6 linked regions of the Cricetulus griseus genome follow. The protein of the gene in region 2 interacts with the protein of the main gene of each other region in a pairwise test. Links are inferred from orthologs where the notes say so. Each region holds a gene or a part of one and is shown on either strand. Other genes may lie near its edges. The genes, in order: Cchcr1, Tsga10, Cdc73, Birc2, Mid2 and Znf410.

Region 1 (3,984 bases), on a different chromosome or scaffold from region 2:
CTTTTTTGTTTTGTTTTGTTTTTTTCCCCAGACAGGATTCTCTCTATGTAGCCCTGGCTGTCAGGGAATTCACTCTGTAGACCAGGGAGGGAGTGGCCTTGAACTCAGATCTGCCTGCTTGTCTGCCTCTCTGGGATTAAAGGCAGGCCATGCCCGGCTCAAAAATAAAATCTTAAACCACATATGCCGAGCATAGCCAGCTCCAGTGGTGTATGCCGGGAAAGGCCCTTTTAACTAAGAGCCAGCATGTCACTTCGTTTCACAATGGCTTCTGGGCAATCCATCTCCTCCCTCAGACATTTACACTCCTTCTTTATTGTTAACTATATGTTTTTACTTGATAACTGTTTTTGTTATATATAATTTTACTATGTTAAAGTAAAAGTAAACCCTTCTTTTTATTTAGACAGAAAAGAGGAGATGATGGGGGATGCCCTTCAGTATATATGTTTCTTTTATTGGTTGATGAATAAAACACTGTTTGGCCAAAAGAGGCAGGAAGATAGGTGGGGCAGGGAGACAGGGAGAACCCTGGGAGAGATGCAGGGAGGAGATGCCATGTAGCTGCCAAAGGAGTAACAGGTCTGGGCATTTTCTGGTAAGCCAAGACCACGTGGAAATACATAGATTTATAGAAGTGGGTTAATGATGAAGAGAGAGCTAGCCACCAAGAAGCCCTAGCCATTGGCCAACTGTTTTATAACTAATATAGTGTCTGTGTGTTTATTTGGGGCTGAAGCGGTGGCAGGACCTGGAGGAAAAGAAACTCTAGCAACACTTGTTAATTGGGAATTTAAGTCCAGAGCGCGCGCTCTCTCTCTCTCTCTCTCCTCTCTCTTGATTTTCTCCAGGGCATAATGGTATATGCAGTGTAGGTACCAACAATGGCCTACAGAAAACCACACAAGTTATGGAACCCAGGGCTGCTGAAATAAAGGAATGTGTGTATAAAGGATCATTAGCAAGTCTGAGAAAAAGGTGATTGACAGATCCCTACCTGCCTCTCTGCCCTGGCCCCTGCCCATCTCCATAGACATCCTGTTCCCTCATGGTCACTGTGGGCCTCTGAGAGTCCAGCTGCCGCCTCTCTAGGACATCTTGGTCAAATGTGGATTGGAACTGGGGAATGTCTGAAGCCCAGGTCGGGGCCATTCTCGGCCGAGCTTGGAAGTGGGAGGGAGGAACCAGTCCAGCAAAACCTGAGGGGGTGGGTCACAAGAGTAAAGACTGTCAGTTTCTCAGAGAGAGAGAGGAAGACGGAGGGAGGGAGGGAGGGAGGGAGGGAGGGAGGGGGAGGGAGGAAGGGAAGGAGAGAGAGAGGGAGAGAAAGAGAGGAGAGGGAGGGAGAGAGGGAGAAAGACAGAGGCAGAGAGACACAGAGAGACTTCCCAGCCTCCTTGATTGGCCTTACTGACCTGAGGGAGACAACATCTCCACTCTATCTGAAGCCTCTCGATCTTGTCCGCAAGAGTGTAGGTTCCCCTGGACAGTAGGAGAAACAAGGAGACTCCAGTTCAGTTTTCAGGCCACCTTCCAAAGAGGAAGTCCTATAATAACAAAGCCACAATCCTTCAGTTACTGACAGATCTGCCCAGCTCTGAGCTTCTCTCTCCCTACTTCCCTAACAAGGCAGACTTGCTTGTCCCGAACACACGCTCCTGACAAAGGAACCAGGCAACAATCATGGGGTAAATGTACCGAGATGGGGGCCAGGGGATGCTCTTGGGGATTTTGCTTCTACTACAGGATTGTGAGTGGTGCCTTTACCTTCCTCCTTAAGTGTCTACGATCCCTGTAGCTCTGGTCTGGAGGTGAGCGGGCCTGTTGTGAACCCCGTCTCCACAGTTCTCGCCATGGTATGGTAGGGACGTTGGGAAACCCATCTAGGCACCACCGCGCCATGATTTCTGGGTCATTTCCTACAAAAGCGTTAGCCCAAGGCCTGGCACCAGAAGAATGGGGCCTCATGTAGGGTTAAGCGGCTTCCCTAGGATCCCCAGGGAATGCAAGCAGCCTGGAGCGCGTTGCCAGGCAGCCAGCTTCCTGTTATCTCATCGGAGTCTCCCTGCAGCGGGCCTCAGTTTCTCTCTATCCCCTCTGCTTCCATTCCCGAAGCCCTTCGCTGCTCAGAGTCCTGCAGCATCTTCTTTGTCCAACTCCCGTCCGAACTCAAATTTTTTGTTTGTTTGTTTGTTTTCCACTCAACGAGATCCCTACACGCTTCTCTTCCTAGTCCTACTCTGCATTTTTCTTGACGTTATGGTCCCGGTCGCTCGCTGTCCTCAGGTCTGCCCTCTCCTCTCCTGCACACACCCACGGGCTCATCCCCCTCACTAGGACCCTGAGCTGTAAGGCTGCCCCGACCTCCTCATCTGTTCTTTCACCGGGCTCCTGCACCCCTCCTGCCCTGTGGACCCCCTCCACCCTCCTGAGCACCCCCTCTCAGGCCCCTTTCCGCCCCCAACCAACCGACTCCGGCCGAACGCTCCTTACCCAGCGCGAGGTCCGCCTTCTTGCCACGCCCCTTAGCCCCTGGCTTCCCCGCTAGGCTTCCCGCCCTGAGCACGCATGCGCGCGGCGGGTGGGGTTGGCGGGATGCTCTAAAGCCCCAACTCGCCCCGCCTGCCGGAAGGAGGAAGGAAGAAGAACGGCGCACGCAGGCACACTGACTCCTCCAGGCCTTCTCCGCGCCCTGGCGGCCCCGCCCCATCCCGGGAACCCGGGAAACCTGCAGGCCAATCAGAAACGGCGGAGGGCGGGAGATGGACGGCCCCTCCCTGCGCATCGTCCAGTACAGCGGAGGAGGGCGAGTCAGATGGCCAATCAGAGACAGCCTGGGGAGGGGCGCGGGCTCGCAGGCGCGAAGCTGGACCCGGGAATTCCGTAGGAGGAGTCTGCGCGGTGCGCGCCCGCCGGCTCGCCCGCTCGCCCGCCCGAGCCGCGCCCTCCGGAGGGCGGCTTCCTGGCTGTCAAACCGCAGCGGGAGCGAGGGGCACAGGGTGTGGAGTCCTTCTTCGGGGCACCCCGCAAGCGCAAGAGGAGAGGGTGAGCTCCACCTTGTTGCAGAGTTAGGGACCTGTCTGCGCCGCCCTTTGTGGGTGACAGCGGATTCCCTTCCCTCGGGGCAGGACAGAAGGGGTGCTCTACCTGGATTAGGAAGTTTGACCTGTAGGCTTCCCTCCCGGCTCCTGCTTACACTCGAGGGGACACGTTCGTGTCGCACGCACGTCCGTGTAGCGGGACCTCCTCACCCCGCTGGGGTGTCCCCAGCTGCCGCTTAAAGTAGCTTTGCCTTGAACAGATTGCTACAGCCTCCCCGGATATTCTGCGGCCTGAGGACCCGGCATCACGGAGGTCCCACAGGACGTCTTCCTGGTTTTGCATCGCGAAAGGGCTTCTCCGGAATTGCTTTTGAAGTCTCATCTTGACAGCCGCTAGCTACAGCGGTTGCATGCGTGTCCAGGCCTCTGGCGCTCTTGGAAATCTGTGTTTCTCAAGTTGGCATTACCCACAGTGGGGCTGCTGACGTCAGACAACTGAACCGAAGCCCCCGGTGCATGGCCTGGGAGTAGGAGAGGTGATGAACTGCTGAGAAGCGGTGCAGAGGGGAGCACCCCCCCATGCTGCCCTGCTTCCAGCTGCTGCGCATAGGGGGCGGCAGGGGCGGTGATCTCTACACCTTCCACCCCCCGTCCAGGTCAGGCTGCACCTATCGGTTGGGCTGCAGGGCTGACCTGTGTGATGTGGCCCTGCGGCCCCAGCAGGAGCCGGGCCTCATCTCTGGGGTCCATGCATTGCTGCACGCTGAGCTCCAAGGGGACGACTGGCGGGTCAGCCTGGAGGACCACAGCAGTCAAGGTAAGCGGTGAGCAGGCAGCCCCAGGATGGCATGAGTAGGGGAGCCTCTGGGACTCCATACCTGCCTCCCAGAGTCCCTGTCAATCTCTGGTAGAGCAGACAAGCAGGATCCGGTTTGATCTGCCC
Region 2 (3,500 bases):
AATGGACCTCAGGTCCCATGGAAGATCAGCAAGCTCTTTACCAATGAGCCATTGCTCCTGCCTCTGATCTTTTGTCTCTTTAAACAAAGATAATATAAAATGAATGTGGCAACATGCTAATGTTATTACATCTGTAGGACAGGTATAGATCTGCTTTATTATTTCTCAAAAATTTGTTGTTTTTGTTTGAAACAATTCCCAATTTAAGAAAAAAAAAAGGCTGATACTTATTCTGGTTGTGGGTACCTAAGAGAATCAAGGTAGATAGGAGAATAAGAGGCCATAATTTACAGTGCATTTATATAATTAAACTGTCAATATATTAAACTTATGAAAAGCTAAGGAGAATTCACTTAAATATGACACAGGATATACCATAAGCACATTTCTACAAACTTACTTGCTCAAGCTCTCTGTTAAGGGCATCAACTTTTTCTTTTAATCTGTTGACCTCTGCTTCAGCAGTGATAAGTTCCAATTTGAGGTTATTGTTTTCTGCCTCTGCTTGGCGGGCTTTATTTTCCCAGTTTTCAGCATCTTCGTTGGCTTTTCGGAGTTGTTCCATTATTTGCCGGTTCTCAGATTCCTGAAAAGCAAGTATTGGGTATTACAAGTGCCTGACACAAAGTGCATATGGAACACTGTTATCCAGGCCATGGGGAATCCCTTGCAACATAACCTTGGAGAAATCCTACTTACCCTCCTAGCCTAGAGAGATGGTCATCCTACTAGGAACATAAAGAAGTACCATGATCTCACCTGCTGCTTCCCCCACCCCACCCCATGACTATTTACTGACTCCTGCTGCTCTGAGCTGCTAACCTCATCAGTGTTCCCTTGCTCTCAATCACTCTAGTGAGCTGTAGTGGGCACAGAATTTCTGTACTCTTTCATATCTTAAGTTTCAACTTCTGATAAGATTTTTTATTATTATTTTAATGGTGTGGGGGGAGTGCATATGCACATTGAGTACTGGTGCCCTTGGAGACCAGAGATTTTGAGTCCCCTGGAGTTGACCTGGGTTCTGGACACTGAACTTGGATCCTCTGTAAGAATGCTCTTCCCCATTGAGCCATGTCTTGAGACTTTGAGGCTTAACTTTCTTGATCATAGACTATAATCTCTTTTTGGCTTCCTTCTATTAAACTGTCAGAAACTGCTCAGAAGGAAACTATTAAATGTGTGTTAGTAATATACACATGCATAAGTTGTACACACAATACAGAACCAGATTGTTCTGGCAGTGCTATCGATTGAACCTAAGACCTTGTATGTGCTAGACAACTACTTTACCTCTGAGTTTCATCCACCACTTGTGGGAACCAGAATCTTCAAGGTGATATCATAAATGAATTAGTTTAAGTATGACCTTCTTTCTATAGTGAAAATTCAGTTCCATAAATAATATGCTACATTAAAAAGCCATTACTGGCTACTTCAAAATCATATCTTTGGGGCTGGAGAGATGGCTCAGCAGTTAAGTGCTTATTCTGCTCTTGTAAAAGACCCAAGTTTGGTTCCCAGAAGCTCCAGTTCCAAGGAGCTCTAGCTTCTGCAGGAACCTGCACTCACATACAGACACACACACACACACACACACACACACACACACACACACAGAGAGAGAGAGAGAGAGAGAGAGAGAGAGAGAGAGAGAGAGAGAGAGAGAGAGAACATACATGCACAGAAAGAAAAAAGCTTTAGTACTGTGGTTTGCCTAACTTGTTCTTTAAACTTCAGTTACATTTTTACTAATAGTGGGAACACTCTCCTTTTTGTTAACACCATATTTCTCTATCAGAAATCCTGAGCTAAATAAAATAACCAAATTACAAAAAATTAATACCCCACCTTTTCTAAGCAAATGTATATTCTCCCATTTAAAATTACTTACTACTAAGAAACTATTGTGATCCAATTAACATTGCCATCTTGTGGTCTTAGATGTAAAAGATCTTTACCCTGACTATTAAACTAAGTGTGCACTAAAGGACTTGCCTCACAAGACCCAGAAGTTCCAAAGCTCTTGAAGGTGATGGGTACAACCTAAGAGTCCTAAGAATGCTTTACCTCTCTAAGCACTTAAATGTTATTTATGTATGCTATGAACAAAAGTTCAAAATGTTTGTATACAGATGTTAAATTATATATTAAATAAAATATGCAGCTGAGGGAAGTAAAGTTTTCACTCACACTTTGAGTCTTTGATGTAGGTAACATCACATCTATGATATTGATCTATTACTCTATTTTCGATCATTTTATCTAAATACATCTCTATTGTCCTGAGACAAGCTGTGTATTATAGAGATGACACATACATCTACAATCAGAAATCTCAGAACACTCTCTCTCTCTCTCTCTCTCTCTCTCTCTCTCACACACACACACACACACACACACACACACACACACACACACACACACACACACGCACACACACAAAACTAGTCAAATAGTGCCTAAAAGAAATACGCAAATGGTTTTAAGAAACAGGTGGTCTAATAACAGTGTGATCTGTTCTGCCCTGTCAAACAATCAGGAAGAGCCACTTTTGTCAGTTTATTTAAAAAAAAAAAGTGTAGTATTTTATGCCCCTTGTTCTTTAAGAAGAATCTACTTGCTGATGGTGTTTACTCTGCATTTAGCAAACTGAAACATACATGTTCTTGAGTCATCTTTGGGACAGGTGATTCTAAATGTATACAGTTAATCTGCCACAGCCAAAACTACAATATTTGATTAAAGAAAGACTTGATTCACTATTCTGATGAACATAATAGACCACTAAACTAAGTCTTATGAAAATTTGTAGGTATCATGAGCAAGGAAAAAAAGTGTATATGTACCTCTGACTTTAATATATTCTTCAGCTTGTTAACCTCCAAATTCGTATCCTGGACCTTCTGTTTTATATCATTGAGTTCATTATGAGTATCATTCAATTTTTTGGACAGTGCCTATGGAAAAAAGATAGCTAGACTTGACTATAATAAATAAAAATCCCTATGTGTAAAACATCTAAATTTTAAATATTTGAAACAGATGATTATATAAAATTAATATAACAACAATATAAAACTTATGTGAAAGTGGTAAAGAAACAGAAGTCCAAGAGAAAACAGGCAAAGGACCCAGACAGACAAGTCATCATAAGCGAGCATAAGTTGGTAACACTAAATTAAACTTCACTAGTAACCAAAGATTTGCTAATTAAGACAATGGAATAGTATTTTGCCTACCAAGTTAGTGAAGAGTTAAAGCTTCAGTTGTGCTAAGGAATAGGTATTTCTGTGTATTGTTTACAGTAAACAAAAATTTTTACAATGAAACTGTGAAACATTATCATAGAGATACATTGAGGCATTTTCAAATATCCATAAAGAGAAGAAAGACAGTTTCTGTATTTGAAATATAGAACATTATATTTACAATGTTTAAATTTTAAAAAATGTTTAAATGTAAACTTTTTTTTTTTTTTTGAGACAGGGTTTCTCTGT
Region 3 (3,500 bases), on a different chromosome or scaffold from region 2:
ATCCCAGAAGTAACCCTATGAATTAAGTTATTGTTGGAGCCTGCTCCAACGAGTCAGCTGGGTAATCTAAGTAGGGATGTGAGGATTGAGTAAAGGAATATAAAAGAAACAGACAGAAACACAGGATAGATTGGGGAGGACTGCCCGGTCCATGTCTTTCAGCACACCAAACAGAGTTTAATTTAGATCCTGTTTATATACAGACTACAGGCAAAGCAGAACAAAGAACAGCATAGTCAATTAACCAGCTCTCTGCACTGTCCTTGAATCAAAGAGAGGCCAGGTTCACTCTCTGTCACTTGAGTCCTGCTAGCAACAAGCAGCTTCATTCCCTATTTCTATATGCCTTTTGGCTGGAATCAGAAGCTTGTTAGTTAGATAATTTGTTCTTTTCCATAGGCTTGATCAGAACTTTCTCACAGCTCCCAAGGAGACTGAAACAAGCAAGCTTGAACTCTAATGTCTTATAAGTCAGAACAGACTCCAGATGGAAACTGAGTCACTTTTGGGCTGCAACAAGTTGTCAGTGCTATTAACATTTAATTAGAGATGTGAGGTAATGACCGAATACAGTTGAAATAAAAATAAAATCCATACAAAAATTAACTGAAACACAAGCCATCTGAATCCAGAAGCAAAGCTACCAACAAGAGGGTAACCAATTTTGTTCTATAGAGTCCAAACACTATTTTTAAGTGTTACAGGCTATATGACCTCTCTCAAAACTACTCAACAAGAGTTGTCAGAGTTAAACAGCTACAGATCACATATAAATGAGTAAATATGGCTGTTTAAACAACAACAACAAAAACTTTTATTATAGAAGCAGGTGACTGAACTATATCTGGACTACATAGGTTACTTGACAACCTTTATTCTTAAATATCAAACTATACTTCCACTCAAACTCAGCATGACCAGGATGAGAAGAAGATATGAAACAAGCAACTTACCTTCTTTGCCTTTGAATCTTTCCTGGTCATATCTGTTGTAGGCAGCTGGAATAGGCTGCTTCGTACGCAATGTGGGATCCTGAAAAAAAAAAAAAAAAAAAAAAAAGGAAAAAAAAAAGGGCTTATTTAACATTCTTAAAACCTGATACAGGGGCTGGAGTGGTCGCTCACAACCTGATTATGAGATCTGGTACCCTCTTCTGTGTGTGCAGATATACATGGAAGCAGAATGTTGTATACATAATAAATAAATAAAATCTTAAAAAAAAAGTGTTATTCCCAATATAGGCCAGAAGACAAAATAAGGTAAGATTACTTGGCATTTGATAACTAGGATTCACTATTGAATATTATTTGCTACTAAAAATTGATCATCCCGCTGGGTGTTGGTGGAGCACGCCTTTAATCCTAGCACTTGGGAGGCAGAGGCAGGCGGATCTCTGAGTTCGAGACCAGCCTGGTCTACATGAGCTAGTTCCAGGAGAGCCTCCAAAGCCACAGAGAAACCCTATCACGAAAAACAAAAAACAAACAAACAAACAAAAACTTGACCATCCCTACACCAAGAATAAAGACAATTTCAAGTATACCTGTATCAAAACTGCAGAAATAATATGGTAAACAAATACGTTCTAATTACTTAAATGACTTTGTGAAATAATACTCTCTCCAATGATAATCTGAACAGAGAGAGCTCCAAGACAGTCAGGGCTACACAGAGTAACCCTGTCTCAAAAAACCAAAAAGAAAGCAGGGTGTTAGTAGTGCACACCTTTAATCCCAGCACTCGGGAGGCAAAGGCATGTATGTGGATCTCTCTGAGTTCGAGGCCAGCCTGGTCTACAGAGGAAGTCTCAGGATAGGCTCCAAAGAAACACAGAAAAACCCTGTCTCAAAAAAACAAAAAAAAAAAAGAATAAGAAAAAAAAGACTAAAGTAACAGGCATTCAATAAACACTTATTAATGTATACTATAAGACTAAAGTAATAGATGTTAGTTTTAAAAATTTGAAAATAGACACTTTCTAATTATGTAATCTAATTCAAATATTTCATACTAAACTTATAGTCTATAATAACCTAAAAATAGTTATTTAAAAAAACATTTTAAAGTTACCTAGGAAAATCACTATATTTATATATTCTTCATTTTGTTACAATAGGATTACACTCTAATATTACAAAAGAAAAATTATCAAGAATTTAGCTACATATATACATCTGTATGATCAAATGCCAAACATAAATATTGCAACTGTTTTCAATGATTATAAAATACACAGAAGGAATACTCACATTCACAAAGACAATGGTTTAAATATCTTAAGGTTTCACATTCTTCCTACCAATAACTATTGAGGACTCTAAAAATCTTTAAGCTAAAGTTACAATTTATGACACTAAAGATAAAAACTGACAAATTTTTAAAGTAGGAATTGACTCCTTAAAAAAATAAGAAAAGCAAAATTCGATGTAAACATATTTAATAAAAATTATTTTCCAAAATCCACCAAAAAAGTAGTAAGACTAAAACTTGAAATTTTATAAATGTGTTTAATATCTGACTTACTAAAAATGATAACTATGACATTGTATTATTTTATCTCTAGTTGCTCAAAACATTACAGAACAACCAGATACTAGTTATTTTTGGTACATCAACTAAAGGTATCTAAATATTACCAATAGTTCAGTATCTGTAAAGATTAAATATCAATGATTTCATGCATAAATAAAATTAATATTAACTTCCAAGGCTATGTTTAGCACTCTACCAATGTTTTTCCAAACTCTATATAAAACACAATTAATCTGAATTATATTTTTTGCCTTTCTTGAATCTTGAGAACAGGTAGAAAGATTTACAGCAAACTAGAGGGTATTTATGAATTTAAATGGAGACTATATGGCATGCATGAATTTAGGGTTTGGAGGGTCCTAAGTAATAACCTTAAACAGTGAGGCGCTCAACCACCAGAGGAGTTAAAGCTGGGGTACAATAAATGGGCCATATGGCAGGTGACAAGGGAAAATAAATATACCAATATGAAATGGTCACAAAAGATTTCAAATAACAAGTCCAAACTGGAAGGTAACAATGATTTATATTTAAACAATAATTAACAATTTTCTCAAGTAATAAATAGGCCAGCTACAGATAACCTAAAAGTTAACTAACTTAGAAGGCTTTTCCTAGTTAACCCCTTTTCAGACTCTCACCCAGGTGTATCTCAAGAATGACCCAAATTATTGCTGAAATAACTTTTAAAAGTGGGAAGGGTCTTTTACAGCCTTTGAGTATGCTGAAGTAACAAAACTTTTACACCCTACTGATGTAAATTGTTTAAGATGTCAATTAAAACACTAAAATACAAAACGAATGTCACTTTCTTAAAAACAACAACATAATCAGAAAAGAATCTTACCACAGGGGCTGTATTTGGAGCAGGCCGCTGTTCCGGGGCACGCCCTTCTTCTCTGGCTTTTACAGATTGAAGAATTGCAAAAATATTCTTGGAAAAATTCTAAAACAAATAGATTCTAATT
Region 4 (3,500 bases), on a different chromosome or scaffold from region 2:
AACACTCACAAGCCAGAACAGGTATAACAGGGGTCCCATTGGCCAGGGTGTTTCCCATGACAGGAAAGATCATAAGCTTTGATGCTGCCCAGACACTGAGAATCTCTAAAACCTTCACTAACAAGGATTTCAGCTAACAGAAGCTCCATGGAGACTATGAAACTGCACTTCCCAAGGAGTCTGGGCCTGCCATACCCCTGACAAGCCCAAACCCTCACACCCACCCACAGTTAAAGGTCTTTGCTCAACACAAAATCTAAGAAGCAGGATTACAAGTAACTAACAAATAAATAAAACAAAAACTCTAACAACAAAGGGAGACAAAAATTTTCCAAGAACCAATTCAAAAGAAGGAAGAGAAAGGTGTTTACAAACTGCTGTCAGATAAGCAAGTAATATTCATCTTCAGGGAGTGTGGTGAGTTTCAAGAGAACAAGACAGATACACAAGCTATAATGAAAGAATACAAAGAGCAATTCTTGAGAGCACAGGAAAGTACAAAATTTACAGGTGAAGACAAATACATAATCATCTTCAGACTTCTCCACATTGTAATGCAGAGTGTAAATAATTCAACTCTATCATAAAGGTAAAAAAAAAAACAAACACTGGGACTCAGGTAAAGTGCCTATCTACAATGCACAAAGCCCAGAATCAACCTTCAGTACTACCCCAGTCCATCACAGTGCTAAAAACAACTGTAACTACAATTGTAGTTATAACTGTCCTATTAAATAAAGGCAGTGTTAGAAATAACTATAGCTACAACTATAGTGACAACTATCCTAATAAAAACAGTATTAGAAATAACTGTAGCTACAATTATCATATGAAAAATAAACAATAGGCCAGGCGTTGGTGGCCCACGCCTTTAATCCCAGCACTCAGGAGGCAGAGGCAGGAGGATCTCTGTGAGTTCGAGGCCAGCCTGGTCTCCAGACCAAGTGCCAGGATAGGCTCCAAAGCTACACAGAGAAACCCTGTCTCGAAAAACCAAAAAAAGAAAGAAAGAAAGAAAGAAAGAAAGAAAGAAAGAAAGAAAGAAAGAAAGAAAGAAGATAAACAATAAATAAACTTAGAAGGATATAGTGACACCAAAGCCATGGTATGCTGGGAAGACAGAGGCAGTTTCTGTGCAGCTGAAATCATCAGTTTTCATAGCAGACTGCTTTAAGATGTGAGGGAGGCAATCCTCAGCTGAGGTCCCTCTTCCCAGGTGACCAGTGTGTCAATGACAGAAACCAATCAGCAGAATGGTTAAAGACATGTAGTATAGCAGTCCTGACTGCCCTCAGAGCGCAGCACACCTGAATCTGACAAATGAGTGAACTATATATACTAAAACCTAGTGATAATGACCATCTGTTAGTCTGTCTTTGCTGAGAGCAAACAGTCACAGCTGAAACCTGTTCTGAGCTGCACTGACAAAAACCATTCCTGTCTTCTCCCTTGGCATTTAAAACAGGGTGAAGAATTTTGTTTTACAAAGTATAGCAATTCAAATGTTAGAATTTAGAACGTTTTTGTCTTTTATATATAAGTTAAATTTCAAGTTACAACATATAAGCCCACAAGTATGGTTGTCATTTAAAATTCTGACATTTTCAACAGTGAAGACTAAATTCATACTAGCATTACTATGGAGAAATGTTGCTTTTTTTCAAACATGTTCTTAAAGATCAACCTCCAATAAGACCTACAACATTATGAAATCACTTGTCAAATTTGTTGCATTAAGAGAACCCTTGAAACAAACTCTGGGTGCCTTCAGAAATGCCTGCCACCAAGCCTGACGACCTGCATTCCATTCACAGAACCCACATGGTGAAAGAAGAGTTGTCCTATGACCTCCACTAGCAAATTGTGCTTTATTTTCCTTGGATAAGAATTTTTTTTTTGCTTACTGTTTTTTTCCAGATCGGGTCTGGCCAACTAGCTGAGTTGGTCTGGGGCTCACAATGTAGCCCAAGTTAACCTTGACCTCAGACTCCTTCTGCCTCAACCTGAGCTGACCTGAACTTGCTATGTAGACCAGTCTGGCCTCTGCTCACAGAGATTACATGCCTCTTCCACCTAAGTGCTGAGATTAAAGGCGTGTGGGCATGGGTGCACTCCCTACCCCATCATATACAATGGATTGATCCACTATAAACATTTCTACTTCCAAATTCCTTTTCATCATATATCACACAAAAATGACCAAAGGTCCCTGTAATTTCCTGAAGGAGGTCCAACAGATTTATCATTATTATGGAAGGCATGCACAAGTCCAAACTTTCTTCATTGTATGATTCCACTTACATGTGGTACCTAAAGTAAAAAATTCAGATATAGCAAGTAAAAGGCTGGTTGCCAGGGGTGGGGGGGATGCTTTCAAGTGTATGGGATACAGAGTTTCAGAGTGAGAAGATGAAAAGGCTCTGAACATGACTGTAAAACAGTACACATGCACTTTATGCTGCACAAGAATACATTTTAGAAGGCTAAATTGGTATATTTTTATGTATATTTTATCATGATAAAAACTCCTAACAGCCCATTTATTTTAGAAATTATGTCCAAGTTCACATAGTTAATTGGTTACAAATATACAATTTCTAATTCTATTTCACTAACAACTGTGCCCCTAAATTTATTTTAAGCAATAATAAAAATTAAGAGGTTAGGGATAGCCGGGCATCGGTGGCACATGCCTTTAATCCCAGCACTCAGGAGGCAGAGGCAGGCAGATTGCTGTTGAGTTCCAGGCCAGCCTGAGCTAGTTTCAGAACAGCCAGGGCTACACAGAAAGACCCTGTCTCAACAAAAACAATCAAAGAACCAATTACCTTGGAAACCATTTGGCATGTTCTACCCAGGGGTCATCTCCAGATTCCCAACACCTCAAGCCACCATCACAACAAAAGCATTTGACATCATCATTGCGATCTAAACAAGAAAAGAAGATGAGAAACTGACTCATGTATATTCCCATAAACAAAAAAGAGAAAGTTCTAGTCTCTGTTAACATCTTACCCACATAGTAAAATCCAGCACTTGCAAGCTGCTCAGGCTGAACAGGAACACTGGACGGCCAGCACAGAAACGTCCTCATTCGAGCAGTATGTGTCTGCATACTCAGATTTGATATACTAAACCTCTGCGTTTCTGAAGAATTTTCCAGAAATGGACAGTTGGGAAAATGTCTCCGATGCTCTGACATAGCGTCATCCTTCGGTTCCCAGTTGCTCAGTTTTCCACCACACGCAAAGCAGGCCACCCTGTCTCCAGGTCCCACATAGTAGAAGCCGGCTCTGGCCAGCTCAGCTGGTGACAGAAAGCTTAATGGCCACATACTGTAAGTAAGAAATCTGGCCTCTTCAGTAATCATGGCATAGCTGCAGGGATTGGTCCTTGATGACAAGTCTTCCACTGCTCTAGAATTGAGAGGATTTGAGGACAAGTTGGAGTGAGTACCCGCTCGTTCTGGAATAGGTAACGAATGTGCAAGCCCACTTCTC
Region 5 (3,500 bases), on a different chromosome or scaffold from region 2:
CAACATTAAACAGAACCATTACACAGTGCATGGACTCCAGAGTGGGACACGCTACATCTTTATTGTGAAAGCCATAAATCAAGCGGGCAGCCGGAACAGTGAACCCACCAGGCTAAAAACAAACAGTACGTTTTGGAGATTCTAGAAGGAAAGACCAGCTTTCCTCTCTGTGCCAGGGAGGACAGTTAGCCTGAGAGACTCCCCCATTATAATGTGTGAGAGCAGTGGCTCTGAGTGGAGGAGCTTTACTGTTATGCTTGGTCTATGGGATTTGTTGGTACCCATGGATGTTTGTGGCCTAAGATATATAGAATAGCTTGTGGCCTAGAAAGAAGTTAGGGAAGGGTTTTTCTCTGCCTTCCACCCCTGGGTCCTATGCTTGGGAGAAAAATTCAGTTAAAGAGTTGTTTCTTATGACGATCTACAAAGCTCTACCATAGAGAAGCCCTATCGGTTAGGAATGTTCTCGGTCACAACTGACACAGTTTAACAAGTATTTCCAAGTAGCTTAAGTTACTAGTTGTTTTAGTTAGTTTGTTTGTGTTTAAACATACATAGCAAGAAGTTTGAGGGCAGCCTGATCATGGCTAGTATAGCAGCTCTGAGATCTCATGGAAGGTTGGAGCTCCTTCTTTGTGCATTGGTTTACCCACAAGGTCGAAAGATGGCCAGTGCAACTGCTGATGTCATAGTTCCCTTACTAGGAAGAAGGGAAAAGTTGGTAATCTTTTAATTAGGAAACAGAAGCTTAACTGGAAATTTCTTCCAGTCTCTTTGACTTCAGTGTCCTTCTTATTAGCTGTCCCTAGCAGCAAGGAAGGCTGGAAGACTGAGTGAGAGAGAGAGAAAAAAATAAGTAATGGATACTGTATTAGCACACAGTGTCTGTTACAGAGGCATATTGTGTACTAAATCTCTTGCCCTAACCAGCACCGGGGGCCTGGGACAGTGTTTTTGGCATAGGGTTATGAGTTTCTGCAGCAAAGCACATGTTATCTTTCATCATCGACCATGGAGCAGTCACTGTAACAAAGTCGACTAATGACACGCACTCTCCAATTAGAAAGCCAACATCTCCGGTTGCTGAGCTCTTCTCAGTTTTTCTTTAGTGATCAATGGCCTCATTAACACAAGCTTTTCTACCTCAAACATTGCAACACTCTTTTAAAAAATCTACCCACATCCCCACCCACTCACTGAAATAAACCAAAGTACCAAACATATTTGAGGATGTGAGACTTTGAGTGGTCCCTTTTAGTTTCATAACATATGATGGGAATACTTTACTAGCTCCCATGTGCTTGGACTCTGGCTTCCAGCATAGCACTCATATGAGAGCCCCACATTTTTCACACAGATGGAAAATAATGCCTGAATGAAGGTTATTTTAGGGGAGGAATGACTTGTATTCTGACTTAATTGCAAAGTGTGCCATCTTGCCTGCTTCCTTAATATAATCCAAACTCCAGCTGACCTGCACTTAGCGAAGGATCACCGTCATGTTGAGGATCCTCTGCTAATGATGGTCCCGGAGGGAAAGGCACAGTTCTTAAATCCTTGATCATGCTTTCCCCCTTTCCTCTACTTTTTTTCAGGCCAACCCTTTAAACTAGATCCCAAAATGACTCACAAGAAGTTGAAGATCTCCAATGATGGATTGCAGATGGAGAAGGATGAAAGCTCTCTGAAGAAAAGCCATACCCCAGAGAGATTTAGTGGCACTGGGTGTTATGGGGCAGCAGGAAATATATTCATTGACAGTGGCTGCCACTACTGGGAGGTAGTCATGGGTTCTTCAACATGGTGAGTGGCTATTTTTTTCTTTCCTTGTCCCAGCTTCTCTGCTGTTAGGTTCCTAGGAGATTCAATTCTACCGCACAGCTAAAATACCAATAAGTCAAGGTTAAGAGATATATGATAGGCACCAGTGCTAGAAAACTTGGCCAGCTTTTAAAAGATAAAAATCATGGAAAATATAGTGGGCTAGGAGCTGAAGTGCTGTATCACTCTAATTGCTGGCTTTACAAGATCTGATGATAATTAGCATTATGCCTGTAAATATAAATGTTTTAAGGAAGAAGCACAGTGAGTCACTCGTAGGTCCTAAATAATGTCTAACACAACTCATATCATCCATAAATACTTTTCTGTCTTCTCCTCCACTGTCTCAGGTATGCAATTGGTATCGCCTACAAATCAGCTCCAAAGAATGAGTGGATTGGCAAGAATGCCTCTTCCTGGGTCTTCTCCCGATGCAACAGTAACTTCGTGGTGAGACATAACAACAAGGAAATGCTTGTGGATGTGCCCCCACAGCTGAAGCGTCTAGGTGTCCTCTTGGATTATGACAACAACATGCTGTCTTTCTATGACCCAGCTAACTCGCTCCATCTCCACACTTTTGATGTGACCTTCATTCTTCCAGTTTGTCCAACATTCACAATCTGGAACAAATCCCTCATGATCATGTCTGGCTTGCCTGCCCCAGATTTTATTGATTACCCTGAGCAGCAGGAATGCAACTGCAGGCCTAAAGAATCCCCCTATGTGTCTGGGATGAAAGCTTGCCATTAAATGGCAAGAGAGCATGTAATTCACTGGCTCTCCACTTCAGCATTTCTTCCCCTCTTGAGCCGCCATTAGTGTTCCATATGTGAGATACAAAATACAGTTCATTGGAAGCACCCTAAATAACTAGATATTGTAGATTTAATTTTTTGTGCATTAAAGCTTATGTTTGGATTCATGTATTGAGTTACTCAGAACAAATGATCTGAATAGTCTGGGTTCATGACATTGGGGAAGAATTTTAGAGAATATCTCTGTCATCATTGGGAAATTAAAAATTCCCAGTGGTTTGAGAGTATAAATGAAATTGGAAAGAATTAGCCTTTCTAGCAGTGGCTAGGTGGACCAGATGGAATTTGCACAGTTTCAAATTATCATATTTGTCACTTTTTAATAAACTAACAATCAAGGTGTTATGAGAATATCATACATGTGTATATATAATATATAAAATGACTGAATTCATTTTATGAGCAAAATGGCATAGATCATTTTATCTATTACATATATACGATAAACCTTAATTTGTTCATTTAAGTGAGAGATATATTGAAAAGGAAAATGAATTATACTGTCCATTCTTATCCCCTAGATGAAACATCACAGTAGACTGGTGTTTTTCTCTTCTTACCTTTTAGCCTTTCTTCCCAGACCCCCTCCTGTCACACATAAAAACACATGCAATCAAGACACAGGGAGTGAGAAGAGCTCTTGGTTAGATTAGGAGAGCTCTGTGGACAAGATTGCTTAAGAGATGCTACTGCTACATTGAAAATTGATTCTGGTCTAGTGTGCTGTGTAGCATAATTTCATTGATATTATTTAATAGAGGAGATTTATTTGAATTATTAAAAATTGTCATAGAATATTTCAAAGAAATATAGTTTTGTTACTCTCAAATACATAGTTACTAGACTTACGCTAAAAAATAG
Region 6 (3,500 bases), on a different chromosome or scaffold from region 2:
AAAATGGTGGTCCTGTCCATTTTTTTATGATAGTATTTGTCATCTGCTTAAAAGACAAAAAGGTGTTACCTGCCCCTTACAAAGATGAGTGAAAGCCTCTGGAAATATTGTATACTTCGTCACACAGTGTAATTCCTGATTATATAGAACCATTATATCTAGTTCCTATCCCCTTTAAATGTTAACTTTCATTTAAAATAGTTTATTTTTAAAAATTAAAAAATGGGGTGTTTTTATTTTTTTTTTATTTTGTTTTTAAGGCAGTCTCATGTAGTGCCCCTCCCCCTTAGTGCAAACCTCCTTTTTAGATTTTTGAGACTGGGTCTCTATGTAGCCCTGGCTGTCATGGAACTTACTCTGTAGACCAGGCTGGCCTTGAACTCACAGAGATCTGTCTCTGCCTCCGGAGTGCTGGGACTAAAGGGATGTGCCACTGTGTCCAGCTTAGAACAAACTTCTTTAGAGCAAGTGTTTTAAACTATTTATGCATATTCATTGTAAACCCCAAACTGTAGTGAAACAGACTAATCTACAAAATGTCGGTGGTTTCCCTTGCTGTTTCCCCCCTGTGATTATTCTAAGGCAGTTTTTGTATTTGCAAAAATGAGAACGCAGTATACTCTTGTAAGGTCCCTGGAAACTAAGTGGAGTTGAGCATCTGTGGTGCTATTTACTGAGAAGGTGCGCTCCCTGGAGGCGAGTGTTACATAAAGCTGTGGTGTTTCCCTTCACTAGATGATACTCCAAACCACACTAACTCCTCCAAGGAGGTCCCTTCTTCAGCTGTTTTGAGGAGCCTTCAGGTGAACGTGGGCCCAGACGGAGAAGAGACAAGGGCTCAGACTGTACAGAAGTCCCCAGAGTTTCTGTCCACTCCAGAGTCGCCTAGCTTGTTGCAAGATCTACAGCCAAGTGATAGCACTTCTTTTATTCTCCTTAACCTAACAAGAGCAGGTATGTTTTCATCTTTTCTGAACTCTATTCATTTTTTAGGGGAAAAAGTTAGAGTCGGTTCAATATTTAATATTCATAACACGCAAAGAATCTTTATGATTTGATTACATTAGAGTTGGTGTGATCTGGTGACCTGTTGAATATATAAAAGAAGTGCAAAGACTCAATGACTCTGCATTTCCTCTTGTTTAACTTTGTGATATGGTGGGTTATAAATTTTGTCAGTTGTAAGAATAGTTTGCTCACTGGGTGGTGGTGGTGCACGCTTTTAGTCCCAGCACTCGGGAGGCAGAGGCAGAGGCAGAGGATCTCTGTGAGTTCGAGACCAGCCTGCTCTACAAGCGCTAGTTCCAGGACAGCCTCCAAAGCCACAGAGAAACCCTGTCTTGAAATACAAAGAATAGTTTGCTTTTCCTATTTTGGCTTTTATCATTCCTGTTCTTCTCTGCAGCCTGAGAATGCTGTCTGCTCTTGTAAGTGTGTTGGGTGTTAGATGCTGTGTATCAAATGGTAAATGCCTTGGATATGGGTGGTTTCTCTGTGAAGCACTGACTGTCTTGAAATTGGGATCCCCCTGCCTATACTGCTGAGTGCAAGGGTAGAGTGTGCCAGTATACCCTGCAACAGAAACTTTTGTTTTTTGGGTTTTTTGTTTTGTTTTGTTTTTTGTTGTTGTTGTTGTTTTTTGGAGACCAAATTTCTCTGTGAAACAGTCCTGGCTGTCCTGGAACTGGAACTTGATTTGTAGATCAGGCTGGCCTGGAACTCACAGAAATCCGCCTGCCTCTGCTTCTGCCTCCAGAGTGCTGGGATTAAAGGCCTATGCCACCACCGCCAGGCCGGAAACCTTGTTTGGAAAACTAATGTGGTGCCCTTGACCAAGACAGTAAGAGCAAGAACAGGTTTGGAGGAGGATGCTTAGTTCCAAATGAGTCTGTTACTGTTTTGATACTGGAGGTACATTGAGGAGGGAGTACCTTTAGAGAGTGAAAAATAGGAATCCAGGGTGGGCGAGGGGTTGGTATAAAGTAGCCAGTTGGGCCACTCATCACATTCAGAAAATGTGAAACATGGATCATGGATTCTTTGATTCTAGAGAGGTTTGAAGCATATGTAGAGAAAAAGGTAAACCTAGGACCCTGGGAAGGGGGACATTTAAGAGGACAACAGAACAACAAGGAGAACTGGGAGAGAATGGTGGGTGGGAAATGATTCCAAATACTACAGGATGAACTAGTGAGATTAAATGTCTGTCAGATGACCTTTGTAAAATTAACAGTTATTGGAAGATAGGCGTGAGAAGAGAATGGGATGTAACTGAATGGGAATACCAGTTAGAAGGCAGAGTTGTTTTAATGCTTAGTACATACCTGTAGCTAAAGCAGGAGGACAAGTTTGAGGCCAGCCTAGGCTAGGTTGCTCAAACAAAACCAACAAGTTGGGCGTGGTGACACACACCTTTAATCCCAGTACTTGGGAAGCAGAGGCAGACCTGTGAGTTCAAGGCCAGCCTCGCCTACCTAGGGCTCTTAACTGCTGAGCCGTGTTTCCTGCCCTACTGAGAGAATTTAACTGAAGTGTTCATGAGAGAATGACTGGGCATGGGATATTTCAAATGGGAGGTGGCTGGGTTGCTGGGATAGAAAAATTTATGCCTGTGAAACAAGAGGAGGCAGAGTTAACAATTAGCATGTGGACTGGATGGAAAAAATGATTATCTTCTTCTTCTTTTTTTTTTTTTTTTTTTTTTTTTTTTTTTTTTTTTTTGGTTTTCAAGACAGGGTTTCTCTGTGGCTTTGGAGGCTGTCCTGGAACTAGCTCTTGTAGACCAGGCTGGTCTTGAACTCACAGAGATCCGCCTGCCTCTGCCTCTCGAGTGCTGGGATCAAAGGCGTGCAACACCACCGCCAGGCAAAAAATGACATCTTAATTATTTATAGGAACAGAAACTTGAAGTGAGATAGAAAGGTCTACAATGATTTGGTTCAGGACATGAAAGTCTCTGGGCCAGGGCTAATGAAAGAACGTTGGCTGACCTCCCTGTATTATTGTCCTTCTTCCAGGTCTGGGCTCTTCAGCTGAGCACTTCGTGTTTGTGCAGGATGAGACAGAGGATTCAGGCAATGACTTCCTCTCTGGTGAGAGCACAGACAGCAGCATTCCATGGTTCCTCCGGGTCCAGGAATTGGCCCATGACAGTTTGATTGCTGCTACTCGTGCACAGCTGGCAAAGAATGCAAAAACCAGCATCAATGGTGAGACTCCTTTGGCATTCTGTACAGAGGTTCGGGTAATTCGATAGCTAATACTCTTTTATTGATGAGAATGGAAGCCTATATTAAGTTGTCCTATTGTATAAAGTAATTTGGCTTTATCTTCCAAACCAATAAACTCATGTTTTAAAATTCCAACTTTTAAGTAATGGGCAGAGCATCTCTTAGAGAACAAGTAGGTCCTGGAGATGGTGGAACCTCAGTCCCAGCATTCATGAGGTTGAAGCAGAATGATTTATATAAACTCATTTATATAGAGCTCAAAGACGTTAA

What was found.
Region 1: the proteins of Tsga10 (region 2) and Cchcr1 interact in binary tests that used the Homo sapiens proteins (3 or more experiments, as listed by UniProt). The link is inferred for Cricetulus griseus from reciprocal best matches to the Homo sapiens genes TSGA10 and CCHCR1.
Region 3: the proteins of Tsga10 (region 2) and Cdc73 interact in binary tests that used the Homo sapiens proteins (3 or more experiments, as listed by UniProt). The two-hybrid records come from large-scale screens. The link is inferred for Cricetulus griseus from reciprocal best matches to the Homo sapiens genes TSGA10 and CDC73.
Region 4: the proteins of Tsga10 (region 2) and Birc2 interact in binary tests that used the Homo sapiens proteins (3 or more experiments, as listed by UniProt). The two-hybrid records come from large-scale screens. The link is inferred for Cricetulus griseus from reciprocal best matches to the Homo sapiens genes TSGA10 and BIRC2.
Region 5: the proteins of Tsga10 (region 2) and Mid2 interact in binary tests that used the Homo sapiens proteins (3 or more experiments, as listed by UniProt). The two-hybrid records come from large-scale screens. The link is inferred for Cricetulus griseus from reciprocal best matches to the Homo sapiens genes TSGA10 and MID2.
Region 6: the proteins of Tsga10 (region 2) and Znf410 interact in binary tests that used the Homo sapiens proteins (3 or more experiments, as listed by UniProt). The two-hybrid records come from large-scale screens. The link is inferred for Cricetulus griseus from reciprocal best matches to the Homo sapiens genes TSGA10 and ZNF410.

What each region holds. Positions count from the first base shown.
Region 1 is NW_023276806.1:229,456,841-229,460,824, reverse strand, and holds the start of Cchcr1 (coiled-coil alpha-helical rod protein 1), read right to left. Parts: upstream 2,801-3,984; 5' UTR 2,786-2,800; coding exon 2,494-2,785; intron 2,488-2,493; exon of another isoform or gene 2,470-2,487; intron 1,943-2,469; exon of another isoform or gene 1,920-1,942; coding exon 1,768-1,919; intron 1,548-1,767; exon of another isoform or gene 1,483-1,547; coding exon 1,416-1,482; intron 1,200-1,415; coding exon 998-1,199; intron 1-997. Other genes in the region: Tcf19 (transcription factor 19), read left to right, coding at 3,621-3,858. UniProt on the Homo sapiens protein: May be a regulator of keratinocyte proliferation or differentiation.
Region 2 is NW_023276807.1:10,438,847-10,442,346, reverse strand, and holds part of Tsga10 (testis-specific gene 10 protein), read right to left. Parts: intron 2,961-3,500; coding exon 2,850-2,960; intron 587-2,849; coding exon 401-586; intron 1-400. UniProt on the Homo sapiens protein: Plays a role in spermatogenesis. When overexpressed, prevents nuclear localization of HIF1A.
Region 3 is NC_048598.1:46,750,515-46,754,014, reverse strand, and holds part of Cdc73 (parafibromin), read right to left. Parts: intron 3,479-3,500; coding exon 3,380-3,478; intron 1,033-3,379; coding exon 954-1,032; intron 1-953.
Region 4 is NC_048597.1:122,214,306-122,217,805, forward strand, and holds part of Birc2 (baculoviral IAP repeat-containing protein 2), read right to left. Parts: coding exon 3,016-3,500; intron 2,929-3,015; coding exon 2,829-2,928; intron 1-2,828. UniProt on the Homo sapiens protein: Multi-functional protein which regulates not only caspases and apoptosis, but also modulates inflammatory signaling and immunity, mitogenic kinase signaling, and cell proliferation, as well as cell invasion and metastasis.
Region 5 is NC_048604.1:39,570,550-39,574,049, reverse strand, and holds part of Mid2 (probable E3 ubiquitin-protein ligase MID2), read left to right. Parts: coding exon 1-125; intron 126-1,595; coding exon 1,596-1,803; intron 1,804-2,171; coding exon 2,172-2,574; 3' UTR 2,575-3,500. UniProt on the Homo sapiens protein: E3 ubiquitin ligase that plays a role in microtubule stabilization. Mediates the 'Lys-48'-linked polyubiquitination of LRRK2 to drive its localization to microtubules and its proteasomal degradation in neurons.
Region 6 is NC_048598.1:119,449,113-119,452,612, reverse strand, and holds part of Znf410 (zinc finger protein 410), read left to right. Parts: intron 1-735; coding exon 736-954; intron 955-3,017; coding exon 3,018-3,209; intron 3,210-3,500. UniProt on the Homo sapiens protein: Transcription factor that binds to the sequence motif 5'-CATCCCATAATA-3', and is specifically required to silence expression of fetal hemoglobin in adult erythroid cells.